Caenorhabditis elegans: one gene and its partners. The protein of the gene in region 1 purifies or fractionates together with the protein of each later gene. This does not show direct contact. Each region holds a gene or a part of one and is shown on either strand. Other genes may lie near its edges.

The links.
Region 2: the proteins of bag-1 (region 1) and dpf-5 fractionate together in Caenorhabditis elegans (co-fractionation; one large-scale study listed by BioGRID). This does not show direct contact.
Region 3: the proteins of bag-1 (region 1) and vha-14 fractionate together in Caenorhabditis elegans (co-fractionation; one large-scale study listed by BioGRID). This does not show direct contact.
Region 4: the proteins of bag-1 (region 1) and clp-1 fractionate together in Caenorhabditis elegans (co-fractionation; one large-scale study listed by BioGRID). This does not show direct contact.

Annotation. Positions count from the first base shown.
Region 1 is NC_003279.8:6,563,104-6,566,172, reverse strand, and holds bag-1 (BAG family molecular chaperone regulator 1), read left to right. Parts: upstream 1-1,721; 5' UTR 1,722-1,723; coding exon 1,724-1,883; intron 1,884-1,927; coding exon 1,928-2,271; intron 2,272-2,333; coding exon 2,334-2,462; 3' UTR 2,463-2,544; downstream 2,545-3,069. Other genes in the region: mei-2 (Meiotic spindle formation protein 2), read left to right, coding at 323-435, 482-768, 816-968, 1,016-1,305; tmed-3 (GOLD domain-containing protein), read right to left, coding at 2,638-2,817, 2,983-3,069. UniProt on the Caenorhabditis elegans protein: May inhibit the chaperone activity of HSP70/HSC70 by promoting substrate release in an ATP-dependent manner.
Region 2 is NC_003282.8:4,802,158-4,808,271, forward strand, and holds dpf-5 (acylaminoacyl-peptidase), read right to left. Parts: upstream 4,430-6,114; 5' UTR 4,412-4,429; coding exon 4,125-4,411; intron 3,537-4,124; coding exon 3,221-3,536; intron 3,169-3,220; coding exon 2,659-3,168; intron 2,334-2,658; coding exon 1,888-2,333; intron 1,840-1,887; coding exon 1,695-1,839; intron 1,230-1,694; coding exon 826-1,229; intron 780-825; coding exon 674-779; 3' UTR 545-673; downstream 1-544. Other genes in the region: dpf-7 (Dipeptidyl Peptidase Four (IV) family), read right to left, coding at 1-391; H06H21.11 (uncharacterized protein), read right to left, coding at 4,651-4,999, 5,053-5,135; ubxn-6 (UBX domain-containing protein 6), read right to left, coding at 5,433-5,696, 5,750-5,860, 5,910-6,114.
Region 3 is NC_003281.10:9,506,235-9,510,294, forward strand, and holds vha-14 (V-type proton ATPase subunit D), read left to right. Parts: upstream 1-1,865; 5' UTR 1,866-1,873; coding exon 1,874-1,920; intron 1,921-1,972; coding exon 1,973-2,090; intron 2,091-2,139; coding exon 2,140-2,287; intron 2,288-2,518; coding exon 2,519-2,874; intron 2,875-3,071; coding exon 3,072-3,176; 3' UTR 3,177-3,523; downstream 3,524-4,060. UniProt on the Caenorhabditis elegans protein: Subunit of the V1 complex of vacuolar(H+)-ATPase (V-ATPase), a multisubunit enzyme composed of a peripheral complex (V1) that hydrolyzes ATP and a membrane integral complex (V0) that translocates protons.
Region 4 is NC_003281.10:7,979,408-7,986,828, forward strand, and holds clp-1 (Calpain clp-1), read left to right. Parts: upstream 1-1,666; 5' UTR 1,667-1,761; coding exon 1,762-1,863; intron 1,864-1,957; coding exon 1,958-2,081; coding exon of another isoform or gene 2,082-2,197; exon of another isoform or gene 2,198-2,265; coding exon 2,266-2,403; intron 2,404-3,056; coding exon of another isoform or gene 3,057-3,131; intron 3,132-3,323; coding exon 3,324-3,452; intron 3,453-3,499; coding exon 3,500-3,942; intron 3,943-3,984; coding exon 3,985-4,143; intron 4,144-4,213; coding exon 4,214-4,476; intron 4,477-4,536; coding exon 4,537-4,668; intron 4,669-5,042; coding exon 5,043-5,512; intron 5,513-5,556; coding exon 5,557-5,662; intron 5,663-5,710; coding exon 5,711-5,768; intron 5,769-5,935; coding exon of another isoform or gene 5,936-5,944; intron 5,945-6,257; coding exon 6,258-6,347; intron 6,348-6,393; coding exon 6,394-6,512; intron 6,513-6,615; coding exon 6,616-6,625; 3' UTR 6,626-6,921; downstream 6,922-7,421. UniProt on the Caenorhabditis elegans protein: Calcium-regulated non-lysosomal thiol-protease which catalyzes limited proteolysis of substrates. Required for assembly and maintenance of integrin attachment complexes which are essential for maintenance of adult muscle.

The DNA of each region.
Region 1 (3,069 bases):
TTACTATAAGAACTAAATTAAATATTAAATATATCGTTTCAAGAATTCATTGGAATGAGGCAAAAGTAAATACTTAGGATTAAAAAATCCAGCTTTATATTAAAAACTTTAAAGGCGCATATGAGATGTTATTCGGGTCCCGCAGCGCTCATGCGGGGTACGATAGTACTTCAAAGAATTACGCGGGAATTTCTTTTATGCGGGAAAACGGTTTTTTCTTGTTTACTAGTTCCTTTCTTTCGTCTAATTTTGATATCTTGTGTTTTTTTCCAATTATAAAATGTTTGTCTCTTCTTAAATTTGAAATTTTGAAATTTTTCAGATGTCAGGGCTTGACGACCGGAAAAAACTAACACATGCAAAAAATAGGAAGCCTCTCAACGACATTCCGAAATCCGCTGAAAACAGACCAAATACAAGATCTACTTCGAGTCGGTGAGTTCTACGAAAAAAGTATCTGAAGCGATTATATTTTTTTCAGACGCGGTGCGGAAAAGGACGTTCCCATCACTTTCATCGGGAGTTCTCGAACTGTGAAAGCCGATCTGCCCGAGTTCACAAATACTCGCTCAAGACGTCCATTGCATTCCGAGTCGAAGAAGGAATTGTCTCGGAACCCGGTTTCGAGAGGTGAAGAACATAGCAGTTCTTTGCCAAAATCCTCCCCAGAATCATCCGTGTCAGTCATGTCATCAAACGCGTCGTTGTGGTCCGCATGCACCGAGGAAGTGAATAAAATCGGTGTTTGTGCGAAGCGAGAGAGCAGAAGTAGGATTTGCAGAGTTTTGATTTTTCAGTTTATGTTTTCTTTTCAGATCTTCGTGTTTATAAGATGAAGAGTTTCACAAGTAACATGGAACAGATATTGTCAAACGACAACCAACTCGCTCCCACAGTCATTAGAATTCTGAATAGTAGAAACTCTTGGTGTCTCAACTCGTGCCATGCTTGTTTAACATTTATCATGGGTTGGTTTTGCTTCCTGATAAATTTATTCTAATGTTTTGTAATTCAGAAAATATCACGAGCGACAATTATGGGAAGCGATCGGCTTGCTTGAAGGCTCTTGCATCAATTACCAACAGTTTACTGGACACAATCATCGGATTTGCATCCACCAAAACTCGGCGAATTGGAGTCGATGTGGTAGCTGAAGAGCGAGCTGCAAAAGCAACAGAGTGCATTCACAATTTTCGCAAAATAGTTAAAAATCGGGACAAAATCTACAAACAGATTGACCAGGAGACAATTTACAAACTCGATGCCATTCTCGAGCGATTGAAAAAAGTTTCCAGCCATAAGTAATTTTCTTGTAAATAATTGCATACTTATTATTCAACCGATGGTTATCACCCAACTCACTGTTTATTTTATTGCTCATACATTGTGTTTCTTACATGTCCAATATAAAAACTATCATGTGCTCTCGTATTGTGACTTAAAAACAAAAATGGGCTAATTTAATGTCCCTCACAGTATCGTACGAAAACGGTGATTCATTGTCTATGGAATCGTTTTTCTCTGAAGTCTCTGAGCGAGTGCGCCCCATTGCAATCGATGTGTACACCTCGTGGAGGAACTGATTTTCGCATAAGCTTCTCGTCATTTCTAGAAGTTTCTTAATTTTCTAATAAGTTAACAATAATTTTGTTCCAATTTCTTATTTATCGACACTCGGAGGCTTCTCCCACTGCTAAAACTGTCTCAAAATCAATTTTCAGAAATGAAGGTGAATGTGTCGTGTTCATCCGTTCAAACTACAATCGACATTCTTGAGGAAAATCAAGGAGAAGACGAATCTATTTTGACACTTGGGCAGCTACGCGATCGAATCGCCACCGACAATGATGTTGATGTTGAAACCATGAAGTTGTTGCACAGAGGTTGTTTCTGATTTTTTGGAATAATGAGACAAAGTATTTTACAGGAAAGTTTCTTCAAGGCGCCGACGATGTCTCCCTTTCTACTTTAAATTTTAAAGAAAATGATAAAATCATTGTGATGGGTGGAAAAAATGCTTTGGTTGATGACGCGGGCTTCAAAATGCTCATGCAATATGAGAAGCATAATTTGAGCAATCTTCAAAAAGCCTATGATCTCAATTTGAGAGATGTCGCTGATTTGGAACGTGGTTTTCTCGAAAAACCAAAGCAGGTCGAGATGGGGAAAAAGCTGGAAAAGAAAGTGAAATATTTCAACGAAGAGGCGGAAAGACATCTGGAAACTCTTGATGGGATGAATATTATCACTGAAACTACTCCCGAAAATCAGGTGTGTCATAATTTTATTTTGTACTTTGAATAAGTTTTCGATTCAGTTCAATCAACTTTCAGGCTAAGCGAAACCGTGAAAAACGCAAGACGCTCGTAAACGGAATCCAAACTCTTCTTAATCAAAATGACGCACTTCTTCGGAGACTCCAGGAATATCAGTCAGTTCTCAACGGAGACATTCCTGAATAATTCTCAATTGCATAAAATTGCTTCGGGTTTTTATGTTATGAAACTCAGTTATAAATCAATAAATTATATTCTTATGCTATGTATCAAAGGGAGGAAAAGGGGCAAAACAACTGACGGGACCCATTAAAATGAGAAGGCTGCTAATTACAAAAAAAAGAGCAATGGTGTGAAAAAATTAATAACGAGTTCTTTTATCATTGAAAAATGATTTGAGCAGGAAAACTTGGCCAATTCCAATGAATACTACGACGGCAGATTGACCAAGGGACCAGATCATCACGCGCTCGTTGAGTTCTTCTGCACGTTTGCGACCAGTTGCTTCACGGAGACGATGATGAGTTTGATAGTCATCAATCTACAAAAAAGTTTATAAGTATGTCAAATGTCGGGTGAACAACTTTTTTAGTAAGCTCCCAGCAAAATAGAGTTGGAAAAATGAACGAATTCATAAAATTCGAAAAAGTTACGTTTTGAGCATTTTCTAATTGTAAAAATAAATCTTTTTAAATAAAAATCTTACTGTTCTCAATTTATCTCCAATAGCGACTGCATAATTTTCTAATTGAGTCATTGCATGAGCTCCTTGAGTAACGGCAGCATGAAGAGC
Region 2 (6,114 bases), on another chromosome or scaffold:
GAGCTACCGTGAATTTTGCCTTCTTATATTGAACATCTTCTACTTGAATAACATCCTTATCGTGACCCATTTCTATGGATTCTGCTACGAATACGCAGACTTTACAATCATCCGAAAATATATGGGTGAAGTATTTCCAATCTTTATCCGTTTCCGTTTCCATTAACATCCAAAGTTTATTCCTCGACACTAATCCACGTGATCTCATGTATTGCCGTTGATCTGGGCACTCTAATGTCTCGTAAATGACCCAAACTTCTTGTGGTTCGTAATCGGAAGGAGTTGTGATACGTGCAGTATTCACCCGGAACTGAAGCATTTGTTGTGAGATTGTGACAAAAGCTTCATGCATTTGACGAGTGGCCAACGGGACCTCCTCGTCTGTAGACATTATAGTTGTACACGTATATGATGAAGCTGCTAAATATTGACTGCCTGTAAGAAATGTAAGAAATCTCTAGGAATTTCAGATGTTCAATTTAGAAATTCCACTAGAAATAATTAAAAATGGGAAAACCAAAACCGTTGAAAAACTGAAATCCTCCAGAATATACAAACCGTTCATATATAAGAGATTTACAAGGCAATATCACGGGAAAATGAATGAAAAAATACCGGGGGCAGGAAAAGAAGCAGCCGATGAATAGATAAATACATATAGACATTAGTATATTTACTGAGACAGTGATTTCTCGAACCAGCGGACCATGTTGATTGCATAGTCGGCCTCAACGTTGACCTCATCAAGTGGATGGTTCGATGGTGGGTAGGTGAGAACCCTGAAAAAAAAAACAATTTCTCTTGCAAACAATTTTTCAAGAATACCTTGCCGGAACTCCACGAGCCTTGAGAGCACGAATAAATGCTCTGTAGTGAGGAACGACACGAAGATCCTTTTCACCAATGAGCAAGAGATACGGAGTAGTTGCGTTCTCCACATGAGCAATTGGCGAAGAGTTGAACATTTTCTCCCGTTGTTCGGTGGTCGTGATCTTTGTCCAGTCTGGATATTCTCCGGTTCCCTCGAAATAGCACCATTCAGGAATATCAGTGATATCATGCATTGTGGCAATGTTGACGACTGGATTCAAGGCAACACAACTTTTGTAGAATCCTGGATATTGTCCAATTAAATGAGACACCAGGAACCCTCCATGAGATCCTCCGAAGAGTACAACCTTGTCTCGAGAAATACGTGGATTCTTATCCAAGACGGTGAGAACTGCGTTCTGAATTAGTATTAATTACATTGATAATACATGCGGTGTAGTCGAATAAACGTTCTAAATTCTTTGACAAAACGATATGCAAAACAGCACAAGAATGTCTAAAACGGATGTTTAAAGGCTTCAAACTACCGAAAATCATTATCGTTGTTTAAATTTCGCGCGTAAATGTGTTTCATGGATTTTCAGCGGATAGATTTATTCATTTTTTGAATCTAAAAACGATTTTTCGTATTATTTTTGACTTTTGTTAAAAGTTTTGTCAGAAAACATTTAAATTTTCAATATAAAAACACGAAAAATCGACTAAATTCCAGAAAAATAAATTAATCGGTAAGTGGGTTAATTTTTGCGCGAAATTCAAGTTATTCGGGCGAAGAGGTTGATTTTCGGAACTTTGAAGCTTTATAACATCCGGTTGAGTCTTGCCATAACACAGAGAAAGTTTTAAAAAAATGTTCTCCTTACATGAACATCCTTAACATCCATATCTCCGCAGTTTCCAGGCAGAGCACGAATAAAATCGTCACCAAATCCGAGTGATCCACGGAAATTGACTTGAAGGACGGCATATCCAGAGTTGAGAAGAGTAGTAAGATCCCGACGTGGCCAGCTGAACTTTTAAATGAAAAACGTTTAAAAAAGGGAAAAAGTAACTCACCTTGCCATGGATGCACCATGAGGTCCACCATGGGGATTCACAACCATTGGAAGATTGTTTCCCTCATTTGGAACAATCAGAATTCCTTCGTAAGTCGCTCCGTCACGCTCAAGATTCACAAATTCCCAGGAGAACTCGAAGAGATGACGACGTTTATCAACAGCCTTCGCCTCGTCGATTCGCACCCAAACCATTTCCTCGGCTTTTCCTGTCCCTGGAAGTTGTCCCAGAAGAACGTTTGGTGGGCGATTCGGAGCAGAGACGACTGCGAGCACTTCGTTATCATAGACATCAAGAAGAGACCAAGTTCCAAGGCATATGGAGTGATTGGTTAATTTTTCAATGTTCCCAGTTGCGATGTTAACGGAAAGCAGTTCCAACTTGCTGCACCAGGAACTTGAAAGGATAAGACGCTTGGAATCAGTAGACCAAGAACGAGTTGCTGTCTGTAAATATTGATTTTTGAAAAATCGGTAATTATATTGCCTTATATTCTGTCCCTTCCTCATGTACATATCGAAATACAGGAAAAAACTTTAATTCCAAAAATCTTCGATGAAGCAGTTTTTTGCATTTTCAATATTTTGAGACAAAATCTCAATCTTCGGAGATGAGTTCACAGTCTTTTGAGACAAATTAGTAATCTTTTGAGACAAAATCGAAATCTATTCGAAATTTTTAGTAATCTTATATGGACGCACTATTTCTCGTATTTACTACAAAAATATTGCTATTTAATATTTTCATATTAGATTTGAGTTGCCTGAGTACCTGTGGGAATGTGAATCCCTGGAATTCGTCTGCAGATCTCTTCTCCTTCACAATCGGAACAATGATTCGCTTCTCAATGTTTTCAGCAGAATCTACTTTCAATGGCCACTCAACAGCTACCATTTCAAGAACTGCTTGATGTGGTCCATCTGCTGCTCTCTGGAACCACACCAAAGTATTTCCGTCGGGCGAAAATTGCAATTCTTCAGCCGAGATTTCACCCTCACTGATCTTCGTCAGCTTTGCGGTCGCAAGCTCATAGTAGTAAAGATTTCCACGGCGATTGTTGCAGTAGATTCTGCCAAGCCGTGGGGTGTCCTGCTCTTCGAGGCCAAAGAAAACAACGCCAGCATCTCCTGGAGCCCATTTCGTGTAGGATGGGGAAATATTCGCAGGAATTTGATCGAGAGCTGTCACATTTCCACTGGAGATGTCGACAATGCAAATCACCGGCTGCTTGACACCATCGTTCTGCTCTCCCCATGACTCGGTGAGCTCGAATTTCTTGCCCTGCAAATAATTCTCTAGAAATCGAAACTTATATTTTTTATTTAATCTATACCACTTTGCTTTCGAAAACCTTCGTCTCGTTATCCCACTCTATATCAGCATCAAAGTATTGCGAAGTTTTCGAATTTCTCTCAGCCACGTACAAAACATGCCCCTCCCCGTACGAAAAGTGAAGGCATCCGAACGGCATACAACCACCACCGTGAATTGTTCCGTGCTTTTTCTGAGTGGAAAGATCAGCGCAAAGCTCTTCCACATGTTCCTCAAGATTGTAGATCTTCAAATATTGTTTCTTATCGTCTCCAGTTCCGATGGTCAGAAGTTGAGCAACACGGGAGTTTGATGCGGAATACACACTTCTTTGGTTTCTGAAATTAGAATTTATTCCATATTCATAAAGATAGAGTAGCGTCTGCCGGGGGTATTTTCTCATACCAAGAGAAAAAATATCAACGAACCGAATAAAACCGCTAAAATAATCATGGAATCTTTTCAATTTGGCTGAAATTGAATTATATTAGAGCACCCGCGCATTGTCTACACTCACGCAAAAAAGGCGTCACAGAAAACGCTCCCAAATTCAATTTTTATTAAAAGAAGGAAAATTTTAACTAGTTTTACAATTTCAACTACATATTTGTGATAAATAATCGAAAAAAGCATGAAATACCTGAAAGAATGAAGAAAATGGAATATTCAAAAAAAAAAGTGAATTCAGGAGCGTTTTCTCCGACGCACTATGTGCGTAAGTGTATGCATCACGCGGACACTCAAATATTATGCAGTTTTCTAAAGAAAGTATTGGGTTTTCCGCGAAATGAAAAGAAAACATAAAAAATTTAGCGAAATTCTATAATTATTTCAGCAGTTCTATTCGTCATATTGTCACTGTTCTCTGTTATTTTTGGCAAAATTCCCACAGACTCCATTCAATCTCCGAATAATTGTTTACTAACTCATAATTACACATTGGCACCGAAACCGACGTCATCAGATACCGATCCGTAACTTCCGGTCCTTTTTTTCCAATCAAGCTGACACGTTGCTGACGAGTCAACTTATTCAGCTGCATGGCACGGTTATCCCAAGTCGTGGTGACTTTGATGAACTCATCTCCTGACTTCTTCTCGATTCGTCCTTGAGTTGGAATCGGAATTTGTGCCAGATCGCCATAAAGATCCTTGAGCTTTTCCAACGCTCTCACATCATACTCAGCTGCACTTGTCACCACAGCAGACGACATTTTACGAAGGAGAAGACGCTGCATTTCGGAAAAGTTTTCGGAGAATTTTAGAAAAGGCAGAGATAAATAAAAATGGGAAGGTAATTCAAAAATGGATAGAAACCAATGAGATAAATGAATAAAAATCTAAAATCGAAATTTTATTGATTCATTTCGCAATGTGAGAAAATGTTTCGAGGGGTAGGTCAAAAAGTAACAAATTCAACAAAAAATTCACAACAATAGAAAAAACATAAATTTCATAATTCTTCAATCAACGGTTTCTTTGTAATTTCCGGTTTCGAATCCTCTCCTTTTGACTGAAATGCTTCTGGAAGAGCTTCGACATTCTGAATTCCGACATCTCTGTCATCAACTGCGCTGTTCATCTCCTTGAACACGTCTAAATCAATTTCAATCCTCTGTGTACTACTCGCTGTGCTCTTTTCGTCAGTTGTGACAGGTACCTCTTCCGAAATCGATTCTGAATTCGAATCGCTGTCGTCCGAGCTGTCATCCTCGACATTTTCAATATGAAAAGCGTCAGCTGACGCGTTTTCCGGCATATTTCGATTGGCTTCTTCCATTTGAGGCAGGAACGATTGTAATCTTAAATTTCGAATTAATTTTTCTTAAAAATTAAATAATTGCTTCAAAGTAACCTGGTTAATAAAGAAGATGGCCCGACAGGTGCGATGATGGGTTTTCCATTTAAAAAATTGGAGATCGTGGGATCCTGTGACATCTGAAAATGGTTTTTGGAGAAGCACAACTGAAAAAAGATGCAGTGGGCGGAATTTCGGCTTCTTCTTGATAGAGTGAATAATTTTCAAAATAAAAATCGATATACAACGAATAGAGAAACAGTTAAAGTGCGGTTCTGTACAAAATCTTTAATATGCTGCTCGAATCTTTTTGCATCTTATAAGTTAAATACAACGAAAGCGATTAGGCGAAATAAAACATCAGCAGTACCGGAAAAAAATAATGACAAACATATCACACTAATAGCCGGGAATTATATTTTTAAATTATACAAAAATTAGTCGGAAGCTTCAAGCTCCTGGATAATTTCGATATGCTCATCGGCAACGATTTGTCCATAATCAGACAGGTTTTCAGCGAAGACGACATGAAGAAGAGCAGCTGGAGCAAGACTGAGTTGAGCCAACGATGCAGATTCATCCTCCACGAGTTGACTGGCAGCGTCACGAAGAGTGAATTCGGATGTCGAAAGAGCATCGGAAAGAGTTGAAGCAACGAAGACACGGACTGCGGAAAATGGTTCATGGCAACCAAATACTCCCTGGAAAAATAAAATAAAATAATTAATCACTTGAATTTCTGGAATATACATACCTGCATCAACAAATTTCCAGGCAATCTGACACGAATCAACGTATATTTGTAGCGATAATTGGTCATTTGTTCGTCTTTTTGTCTCATTTCCTTCGTACGCAATGTCAGCATCTAAAAATTCAATTTATTGTGTGATTTTTCAATTTAAAGCTCCACTCACTCTCTCCACCTGCATCTCCTTATTTCTCTGTTCGGCTTTGAGTTCAGCAGTCGACAAATTGTAAAAATCATCTGCCAACTTTGGTGCTTTCGGTTTTTGCCCCTCTTTTAGCTTGAAGATCTCTAGATTTCTAGCAACCTTTATAGGCACAGCCTGCCCATCCTTCAAAGCTTCCAGAGCCTCCACCAAATGAACATCTGATGGT
Region 3 (4,060 bases), on another chromosome or scaffold:
ATTTGATAATAGAGTGAATTTGAAAATACAAGGTAAAGAAATTTATATTTATTAGAGTTTCACATTTTTTACTTAAAAATTATAATTTTCAGACGAAAAATCCTACGAAATCCGAGAGCAGTGGTTGATCGAAGCAATTCAATTGGTACTTCTTTCGCTTCCAACTTCAAGACGTCGGAAACTTCACAAATTTGTTACATTCATTCAATCGATCGAAACGAATGCAGTCTTCGACCTCGCTGATCCTTCTAATGGATCTTCCAACAATCGTGAAGCGGTAAGGAGGGGATCATTTTGCAAGAAAACTACTGTCTCGACTCGACAAATTTTTGTAAGATAAGAAAATGTATGAGTCTTTAAGGAGCACTGTAATTTCAAACTATCATTTCTGCCGAATTTTTATGGATTTTAATTAATTATTTGATAAAAATATATTTATCTATTAAAAAACTATAGAACTAAAAAATTAACACCTATATTTCAACACTGAAAATTCTGCAGAAATCTTCATTCGTTTCATTCGACAAAAATTTTTCGCCTCGAGACCGGTACCGTACTTTTGTCGCTATATTTCGTGTCTGTGTAATATCAATTTTTAAATTTTCGATTTCAGGCAATCATCGGACTCTGGACAGGTGTTTGTAGTAAATGCCGAAAGCAACAAGGAATGCTGATTACCGCTGTCCTCCTCGCAAACGTTCAATCTCTTTTTGCTGTTCCTGTTGAATTTATTGAACGGGTCAAACGATTGGAATGTGAAGAAAAGAACACCAGAAGTCGACGTGATTGGCAGCCACCATGTGAGAAATCGAAGAAAGGATTGCTCACACGATTGTTGCGTAAATAGATCTTACAATCTTCGCCCTATAGCATGTATATTATTTATTATATTTTTATTTTGCTCCCTTCCCCCCCCCCCCCCCCCCACTCACCTAATTCTTGTGTCATTATAATTTTCTAAAGTTTTGTGAAATAAATTTTGACGATGATTTATCAATATTTGTTTATTTTCTTCTATGCTTTCTTCTTGGTTAATTCTCCAATCTACTTTTCTTAAAATTCAATCTGTCAGCTTATTTCGGGACATTGAAAATTACGGTACCCGGTCTCGACACGACTATGTTTTGTTGAATACAAACGGATGTGTGCTTTTAAGGATTACTGTAATTTCTTACTTTCTTTTATGCGGAATTTTTTATCGAATTTTCATGGTTTTCGTTAACAAAATATATTTATTTATCAACAAACTGAAATAAAACAACTAAAACACTCAAATTTTGACAAATTGTGAGAAAAACTGAAAAACCCGAATGTAAATTCCACAGCAGCGAAAGTTTAAAAATGCATTACTCTTGCACACCAGTTTGTAATTTACGAAAAATAATTGTCGTGTCGAGACCGGCTACCGTATTTTTTTACGAAAAATTTCGTGTCTAGGTAATATTTATTAACAAACAAGTCATTAATGCTAAAAGAAGTGGAGGGACCGGCTTTTAAATTGCGAATAGTACATTTATTTTAAAATTAGATTTCAAAAAGTTTTGAAGCTGAAATTTTAAAAAAATCGAAGATTAATTTTTAAATTGATTATCCAACCCCTTTAACCTTTTACTGAAAATGATATTTTCTATTGGGATAAAGTTTTATTCCAACAATTCCCAATGAAACATCAAAGATATGCCTTCTTCTCTCTTCTCTCTTATATTTCCACCTCATGACAAGACTTGCAAACTCGCTCTATTGAAAATGCCGTCGATCAATCGGCAGTCATTGGTCTTTTGTGTATTTCTTGCGAACAACCGATTTCGCTCATTTTTGCCATATTTTAATGTTTTTTTCATAGAAATAACAAACTTTTTTTCCAGGTCGAACCATGTCCGGGGGAGGAAAAGACAGAATCGCGGTTTTCCCGTCTAGAATGTGAGTTTTATAGAAGAAAAACTTGATGGAAATCTAAAAAATAACTATTCAGGGCGCAAACCCTGATGAAAACCCGTCTGAAGGGTGCTCAAAAGGGTCATTCTCTGCTGAAGAAGAAGGCCGATGCGTTGAATCTTCGTTTCCGTGACATTTTGAGAAAGATTGTTGAGGTTTGTTTGAAAATTCTGAGGTGAAACGCTAAAAATCAAATGTTTTCAGAACAAAGTCCTCATGGGAGAGGTTATGAAAGAGGCTGCATTCTCTTTGGCTGAAGCCAAGTTCACTGCTGGAGATTTCTCTCACACTGTCATTCAAAACGTTTCTCAAGCTCAATATCGTGTTCGCATGAAGAAAGAGAACGTTGTCGGTGAGTCATTCGAGAATTTTTATTTTTTCGCGCGATTATATTTTCACTTTTTTCCACATTTTAAGAATAAACTATGAGTTTCTTTTGGCGTTATCGAGTTTACTTCTCAAAAAACGATAGAATTAGAACGAATTAACTTAAAAGTGCGAAAAAACTAAAAGTCGTGCTGCTGAATTGCGAGCTGTAAGAGTTCAAATAATTTGATTTTGTCGGAAATTTAACCGTTTTCAGGAGTTTTCCTTCCGGTATTCGACGCCTACCAAGACGGACCAGATGCATACGATCTTACTGGTCTCGGAAAGGGAGGAGCCAACATTGCTCGCCTGAAGAAGAACTACAACAAGGCCATCGAATTGCTCGTCGAGCTCGCCACTCTTCAAACATGCTTCATCACTTTGGATGAAGCCATCAAGGTTACCAACAGGCGTGTCAATGCTATCGAGCACGTTATCATCCCACGTATCGAGAACACTCTGACATACATTGTGACTGAGTTGGACGAAATGGAAAGAGAGGAGTTCTTCAGAATGAAGAAGATTCAGGCTAACAAAAAGAAACTGAAGGAACAAGAAGCTGCTCAAAAAGCAGTGAGTATCGACTTTTCATTTCTGGGTTTCTCACCTCACACGATATTGAATAATATTATCAGAAAAAAGTCGAAAAGTTTTTACAACGGTTTTTCATTTTTCCAAATAGAACCGTCATGAAAGAATTGAAAAATGCTGTCACTACAGTGTACCCATAAGAGACGACTTAAAACTAAAAAAGATAAATAAAATTTCAGTTGGAAGGACCAGGACCAGGAGAGGACGCAGCACATTCTGAAAATAATCCACCGCGAAATTTGCTTGCATCGGAAGAAGATAACTTGCCAGTCCTTTTCAATTAACCATTTGATTTTCTGATTGCCTCACAATGATTTCTGCTGTAATTTTAATTTTTTCGGATTACGGTAGGAACTCATTTGACCACTAGTCTCTTATCATTATTTGTAATCAGATCCCCCTTCCTTCCCCTCATCCAACACCCTCCGATGTTCTTCCTGTTTTCTATGTGGTTTCTTCTCGTATAGATTGACAAACATTCCATTAATTTTCCCGTATGCAAGAACAATCGATTCTGTGAATATGTACTCCAACCATTTTCTTTTAAAACTTAAAAATTCCTAACATTTTCCTGCTTCCATTTTCCATTTAGACTCGTGATGTTATCGTAGTAAAGGTTTGTAAATGAAATCTTCAGTAAATAAGAATTTCCACCGCGGTAAGTTGTTTCCTAATTATTTATTTGTTCAGAAAAAGAGCCGTTATTGAATTATGTCGTCGTCGACTGAAAGTGACACTGTGAGCAAGAGAAGAGCCATTTATAATTGCGTTTTTGGAAAGTGGTTTGAGTGGTGTCGTGTGGTCTAAAATATTGAAGATACGAAAATTAAAGTGTGAGAGACGGAGAGGCTCGTTATTCGTGTGAAGAGCCCTTCTATTCACAATTTGTTCGGCAGAACATTTTCCTTGCCTATTCTCTAAATTTCGATATGGGTTTCTATGTAATGTCATCTTCTTGAAATTCTGAATTTGTATTAGTGCACTTAGATATGGGGCGGATTCTTAATTAAGATTAATTAAATACCACTTAAAAAATTTTCAATTTTTTAATTTTCAAAAAGTTTCATAAATTTCTTAATTTATTTTTTTATAATCCATTAATCCTCTTCACTCACTCTGTTTGTGCTCTTCTTCTACTCATTCTCATCCTTCTTTTTGGCCCTTCAAT
Region 4 (7,421 bases), on another chromosome or scaffold:
TTAGGAGCCAAATAAAAAAAATTAAACAAAAAAGAACAGTCCTCATTTGGATTTAGATTTCTGTAATTGTAAGTCGTAAATCCGCAACATCTAGATAATCGTCAAATGGGGCTCAGACAGCTCAAACCCTGGCTTTTTGAATGATTGGCAACCAACGTTGGTGAAATTTTCTCATTTTTAAATCGCTCACCACTTCTTTATTCTAAAGAGTTCTCTGGTCACTCACCTATAAATCCAAAAAAAAGTGCTTCGATACACAAAATTTTATTCTCTTTTCAAAGAAAAAGGGACCTTTTCCTCTATGCTATCGATCACCTGCGAATAGAACCTAACGGAAAACAAAAACAAAAAGAGCAACTGAGCCCCGGAGCCTCACCAAAACCAATTATCAACGGCGCGGAACATCTTTTCCCCTCTATTTCTGCCATCACATTCCGTTTCGAGAAAAAAAAGAGCAACTTTTTCCTGCTCTGAGCCATAGGGTGCTCCTTTATTTCCGGTTGGTCCCTCTAGCTCTCCATTTCTCAAAACGAGCTGCTTGTTGCTCCCTTTTTGAGCTCATTCTGTGCTCGTTTCTCGAGGAGAATTGCCCGGTGCAATGAATGTATTCAATTGTTGTCTTGTTGGTGAGTCAAATTTGTATGAAAAAAAATTCAAGAAATGTATTGTATTGTTGTCTACGTGTGATCCAGAGTATCTTCAGAAGGTGTGGTTTTTTTTCTGAACTCTAAATTAAAAAAAAAACACATTTTCGGCCTGCTCCTGACACTGAGTTGACATGTCCTTCGCTTAGACTCATGGGAATGTAGAATTGGTTTCAAAAGCAAAACACGCAAACTCTGGTCCCCCGCAGCTTTTACATCGATTTCCAAATGTTTTTTGTTCGTTTTCTCGGTTTCAAAAGACAATTTTATCCGTATCAAAAGGTCATACAGGGAAATTTCGGAACAAAATTGAAAGAAAAATCCTTGAATAATTGAAAATCATGTTCAAAAATTACGATTTGCTTAGTTTTATCTGATTTTCTGAGCATATTCTATATTTCGAAACCCATTGAATGTGGCAATTGTTTTTTTGGTGTGTTGTGCCTCACTCCAATACCAATTTCCGTGACGATTAAATTGAAAACAAGACCGAAAAACCAAAAGAGAAACAAAAAAATAAAATCTAGTTTTTTTTTCTCCCCCTGTCACATTGAATTTATATTTTTATCCGTTTCCAATTAGGTTCATCCGTTTTGTTTGCCATCGATAGCTAATTGATGACAATCAAATAAATTAATAGATAAAGTTTCTATTTCCATTAACTCAAATTTCCTTTATTCTGTCAACTAAATTTATGTTGTTTCGTGCTCAGAAAATATGAGAAAAAAAACAGAAAAATGCATGCACAAAAAAGTTGACGCTAATCTTTGTCTCCCCAACTCCGAAGGCTCAAAGAGCACGCAAAGGGCTTATCGATTTTAAGAATTACACATTCCTTAAAAAAAGCTCTAACTCTAAAAATTATTTTATGTTTCCATTCTCAATTGCTGTATCCCCAAGAAGAGGTAAAAATTTGTTTTTTTTTTCTCTATGTTGTGAGCCTGATTGCTCTGCTTCTTCTGACTTTTTCGTTGAACAAAAATCAAATTTTATTTCAAATTCATAGATATTCTGTTTTGCAGACCCCGAAAATCGTGCGGCAGGCTCAAACGAGGAGGAAAACTATCAAAAAAAGACAACAACCGACGGTTTCACAGCAAAAGCCGACGGAATCAAAATGGCTGACGATGAGGAAGAAATTATTCAAAAAGTCGAAGTGAAGCCGGATGAATTCAATGGATTAATTGGATCAATTGCTGGTAACCTGATTAGAGATAAGGTTAGTTTAATTTTTGGTTAGAATATTTTTTTTTTAAATTTGCTACATAGACATGTTGAAATTTAATTGCAACCTAAAACTAATTATCTCACAGGTCGGTGGCGCCGGTGGTGATATCCTTGGAGGCCTTGCCAGTAACTTCTTCGGAGGTGGAGGCGGCGGAGGAGGCGGCGGCGGAGGCGGAGGTTTCGGTGGTGGAAATGGAGGATTCGGTGGAGGTATTTTTATTTTCAAAATTGTCAGACAAAAATTCCCTAAAAATTCAAGTTCCTTTTTTTGTGTTAGAAAACATTTAGATTCACTCAAAACATCACCGTGTGGCTTAGATCAGTGAATTTTTTCTCACACCTTATATGTTGTCCATGTTATCGTAATCCCATTTGCTGCTACAGTAATCCATAGGTTCGAACTACGATCAAGGCGGGAATGGGAACAGCGGAGATCAACAAAAAAGGAAACGAGACATGGCGAAAGACTTGATTGGAGGAATATTCGATAATGTGGTGAATAGGAAAGGAAAGAAGGAGCAGGATAACTATGGTAGCGTTTGTGTTTTTTTTATTTGCTGTTTTGTGCTTTCTATAGATTTGATTATATAATTAGCTTAATCATTTTCTCAAATTTTCTGAACATGGTCTGTAATTTATTATCCTCGGTTTTTTTTCTAGTTTTTCATTCTTGGACGTCTGGGAATGTGAAGCTTCTTTGTCTTTTGTTCCGTAATTGTTCACCAATCTTCAAGCTTTTTTCTTGAAAATAGCGCAATTCCACGCTCATAGCACAAATTCATCAACTTATGTTAAAAATCAGGTGGAGGTCGACAACAGCCGCCACCAAATAACAATTTTGGTGGTGGAGGTGGATCTGGCGGTGGCGGAGGGTTCGGAGACATTCTTGGGGGACTTTTGAGCGGCGGAGGTGGCGGCGGTGGACAAAGAGGCGGCGGAGGGCAAAATTACGGTCTGAGAGTTTGAAAATACAATAAGTTAAGCTTCTACGCACTCACCAACACTCACTTAAATACTAACAACACCACTCATTTCCAAAATTTGATTTGAAAAATATGGCTATTTTGAAAGAAGCTTTAGACTTTTAAATTCTCCTGTTAATTCGCTTTTGACTGATGATTCGTGATTTTCCTTTAAAAATGCAATATTTTGCATGTTTGCTGTGATATTTCGTGTGAAATTTAGGCGGAGGCGGCAGTGGCGGTGGCGGTGGTGGAAACAACATCGGAAGCTTGGTCGGATCACTTATTGGTGGTGGTGGTATGCATTAGGATTGTAGTGTGCATGTAGTATCATAAATGTTGTGTTAATATTTTAATAGTTAATAGAGCTGATGATCAGAACATTTATAGATCTTATTGACACTTATTTATCACATCTAATTGTATTTCATTTCTGAACTATCTACACAAATGTGGCACCCATGAAATTCAAGCTAGAGTAATATTTTAGGCGGAGGTGGTAACTACGGCGGTGGTGGTGGAAATCAAGGAGGCGGCGGAGGCGGTGGCTTTAACTTCAATGATATCGGTGGACTCATCAACAGTATGGGAGGTGGTGGTGGTGGTGGCCAGAGACAAGGTATAGAACATTTATTAATATACTTTGAATAATTTGAAAAATTTTAGGCGGTGGTGGAGGAGGCTTCGGAGATATCCTCGGAGGAATCGGATCTCTCATTGGCGGAGGAGGCGGTGGCCAGTACAATGGTGGAGGTGGAAATGTGAACCCGAATAATCTCAACGGTGGAATGGTGAATGTTATCGGAAATCTCATTGGAGAAGCTGCTCACAGATTCCTCGGCGTTGATCCGGGTACAGGCAGAATCATTGGAGCTGTCGCTGGAAATGTGATTATGGGACTTGGTGGAAAAGATAATTCTCTTGGAAATATCGGAAAAGTTATTCTGGACAATATTATTTCTGGAAAGTTCCGTAGGGATGTTGATCCATTCGTTCGTCCAGGACCAGATCCAGATAGAGGAGGTGGTGGAAGTGGTCCAAGCCCTATTTCACCAAGACCAACTACCGAACCACAAGACTTCTATGAGCTCAGAGATCAATGTCTTGAGGTGAGTGTTCAAAACATATCATTTTTAAAATAATAAATTCAGAGCAAACGACTATTCGAGGATCCACAATTCTTGGCCAATGATAGTTCGTTATTCTTCTCGAAACGTCCACCAAAACGTGTAGAATGGCTTCGTCCTGGAGAAATCACAAGAGAGCCACAACTGATTACAGAGGGTCACTCGAGATTTGATGTTATTCAGGTTAGCTCTTGGATTATTTTCAGAATTTTTAATATTTGAAATGTACTATTAAAATTATATATTCTTTCAGGGAGAACTCGGAGATTGTTGGCTCTTGGCTGCTGCAGCCAATTTAACTCTCAAGGATGAGCTCTTCTATCGTGTGGTTCCACCAGATCAATCTTTCACTGAAAACTACGCTGGAATCTTCCATTTCCAATTCTGGCAGTACGGAAAATGGGTGGATGTTGTTATTGACGACAGATTACCAACGAGTAACGGCGAGCTTCTCTATATGCATTCTGCTAGTAATAATGAGTTCTGGAGTGCACTTTTAGAGAAGGCATATGCAAAGTAAGTTCGGACTTTTGACCGACATTTATGAAGGAATAAACTAGTTAATTAATTTTCAAGATTGTTCGGATCATACGAGGCTCTCAAGGGAGGTACCACATCTGAAGCACTTGAGGACATGACTGGAGGACTCACCGAGTTTATCGACCTCAAAAACCCACCAAGAAACTTGATGCAAATGATGATGAGAGGGTAGGGATTAAAGTCTAATTTACATTATTATCCAAAAACGAGTTGTGCCAAACTACAGTACCCGGTCTCGACGCGACAATTTTTGTTAATTATGAATGTCTGTGCGCCTTTAATGAGTACTGTAGTTTCAAACTTTCGTTGATGCCGAATTTTCATTGATTTTGCATAGTTTTTTGTTAGAAACAGAAATAAAACAATTAAGAACACACAAACTATGAAAAATCGATAAAAAATTCCACAAAAATAAAATCTTGAAAGTAAAGTACTCTTTAAAAGTGATCCCCTATTTATATTCGACAAAAAGTTGTCGTGTCGAGACCGATTACCGTATTTTTTGCGCAAATTTTAGCGTCCATGTATTAACAAAATTTCAGATTCGAGATGGGATCCCTATTCGGTTGCTCCATCGAAGCCGATCCAAATGTTTGGGAAGCAAAAATGTCGAATGGTTTAGTGAAAGGACACGCCTATTCAATTACCGGATGCCGAATTGTTGACGGACCAAATGGACAAACTTGCATTCTTCGAATCCGTAATCCATGGGGAAATGAACAGGAATGGAATGGACCATGGTCAGACAATTCACGCGAATGGCGAAGTGTTCCAGATTCTGTAAAACAAGATATGGGACTGAAATTCGATCATGATGGAGAGTTTTGGATGTCATTTGATGATTTTATGAGGAATTTCGAGAAAATGGAAATTTGCAATCTTGGACCAGATGTTATGGATGAAGTCTATCAAATGACTGGTGTCAAGGCCGCTGGAATGGTTTGGGCTGCAAATACTCATGATGGTGCATGGGTTAGAAATCAAACAGCTGGAGGATGCAGGAATTACATCAGTAAGTAAATATTCATCTACAAATATTTTCAATTTTCAATTCAGACACTTTCGCCAACAATCCACAATTCCGAGTTCAACTTACCGATTCGGATCCTGATGATGATGATGAACTCTGCACTGTAATATTCGCCGTTTTGCAAAAATACAGGTAGCGCCACCAGATAGGGAAATCATTTTTATTTTTCCAATTTTTAAGACGTAATCTGAAACAAGATGGACTTGACAACGTGCCAATTGGATTTGCTGTCTATGACGTGAGACTATTGTTATTTTGAAGAAAAAACAGGATTTGGCCTGAAATTTACGACAATTCTAGAAAACCTCAACTTTAAATAGAATAGTTGGAACATTTGAAAACTTAACTTTCCCCTAAAACTACTAAAAAATTTTTAAACCTTTTAAATACGCTAAAAATTTACAGATGAACAATGTAAGTTGGCTAATTGAAAATCTTGTGAAACCGGTAAAATTGTCCAAATCACGTCGTTTCTAGTTCAAAATAACCCACATTCAGTGAACCTCACCCACTTTGTTTAGTGTGTATTGTTTTATTGTTGAAGTACACGTGCTGATTTTTTGACATTATCTAACCAATATTTATGTTTTGTTGTTTACTATTGGATGTGTGAAACGTATCAAATAACAGAAAAATGCAGTCATTTGAAAGAAAATTGTATTTTCTGTCTCTGTGTTCGTCCGAACCAAAGATTTTTTCAAGCTTTATAAAATTACATACTATTCAGGCCGGAAATAACCGTGGTCGACTGAGTAAACAGTTCTTCGCTGCCAACAAATCCGCGATGAGATCGGCCGCTTTCATCAATTTAAGAGAGGTAATTTTCTATCTTCAAAATTAAATTTTAAAAACCAAATTTTCAGATGACTGGCCGCTTCCGTGTACCCCCGGGCAACTATGTTGTCGTTCCATCAACATTTGAACCAAACGAGGAAGCCGAGTTCATGCTCCGTGTCTACACGAATGGATTTATCGAGTCGGAGTGAGTAGTGAATATCAAGATTTTGTACTTTGTTTTGATTTAACAGAATATATAAGCTGAGCTTCTGCAGGTACTAATAATTCATTGATTCAATATTTTCCAGGGAACTGTAAGCCATTCTACTCACAACTACAACAACAAATAGCAAGATTGGATCTTCCTATACCTATTGTTTTGATCCACTTCGTTATGTATAAATCTCTCTGTCACTCGTTCTATTTTCATCATTAACCCCCCTACCCTCTCTCTCTTTCCTCAATCGTCCCTCTTTTCTCCACTCTTTCTGCCTAATTTCCCGTCGATGTTTGCCGGATCTGCTCTGTAGAATTGTAATATTTTGATATGCTTGTTGTTTCACTGTATTCTTTTTTTTTGCCTTTTCCAGAGTAAATAAATTTTCTAGTTCTGATGAAAGATATCCAAAATTTCCGTCTTTTCAAAAATCAAGCCTGTCAAAAGATTAAGCATACGAAGTATTTTTAAATGAACAAAATTATCTTATATTCTTCAACACTTAAAAAATATTCACAGATTTCATTAGTATTGACTCTGTCGCTACGAATAATACCACATACACTAAACCATTTCTGATCTAGCTTTAAAAATTTCTCTTTTTTTAAAAATCAATTAGGAAAGATAAAAATATATTTACCTCGAGTAGTGGGAGAAACTGTAAAAAATCACGTTTTACGGTGAAGTAATAATACTTTTTTTTAGCAGCTTCGAACAAAAGTCTTTTTTCCAGCCCAATTTTGCATAAAATTTGTTTTTATTAAAATGAGAAAAAATTCATTTCTTTAATCGATTTCCAAAGCTTCGACATTACCGTAATCTTTAAAGGCGCACATTCTATTCTGCAGTAATCGTATCCTTCGTGTCGAGACCGGTCGGTACCGTATACTTTGGACT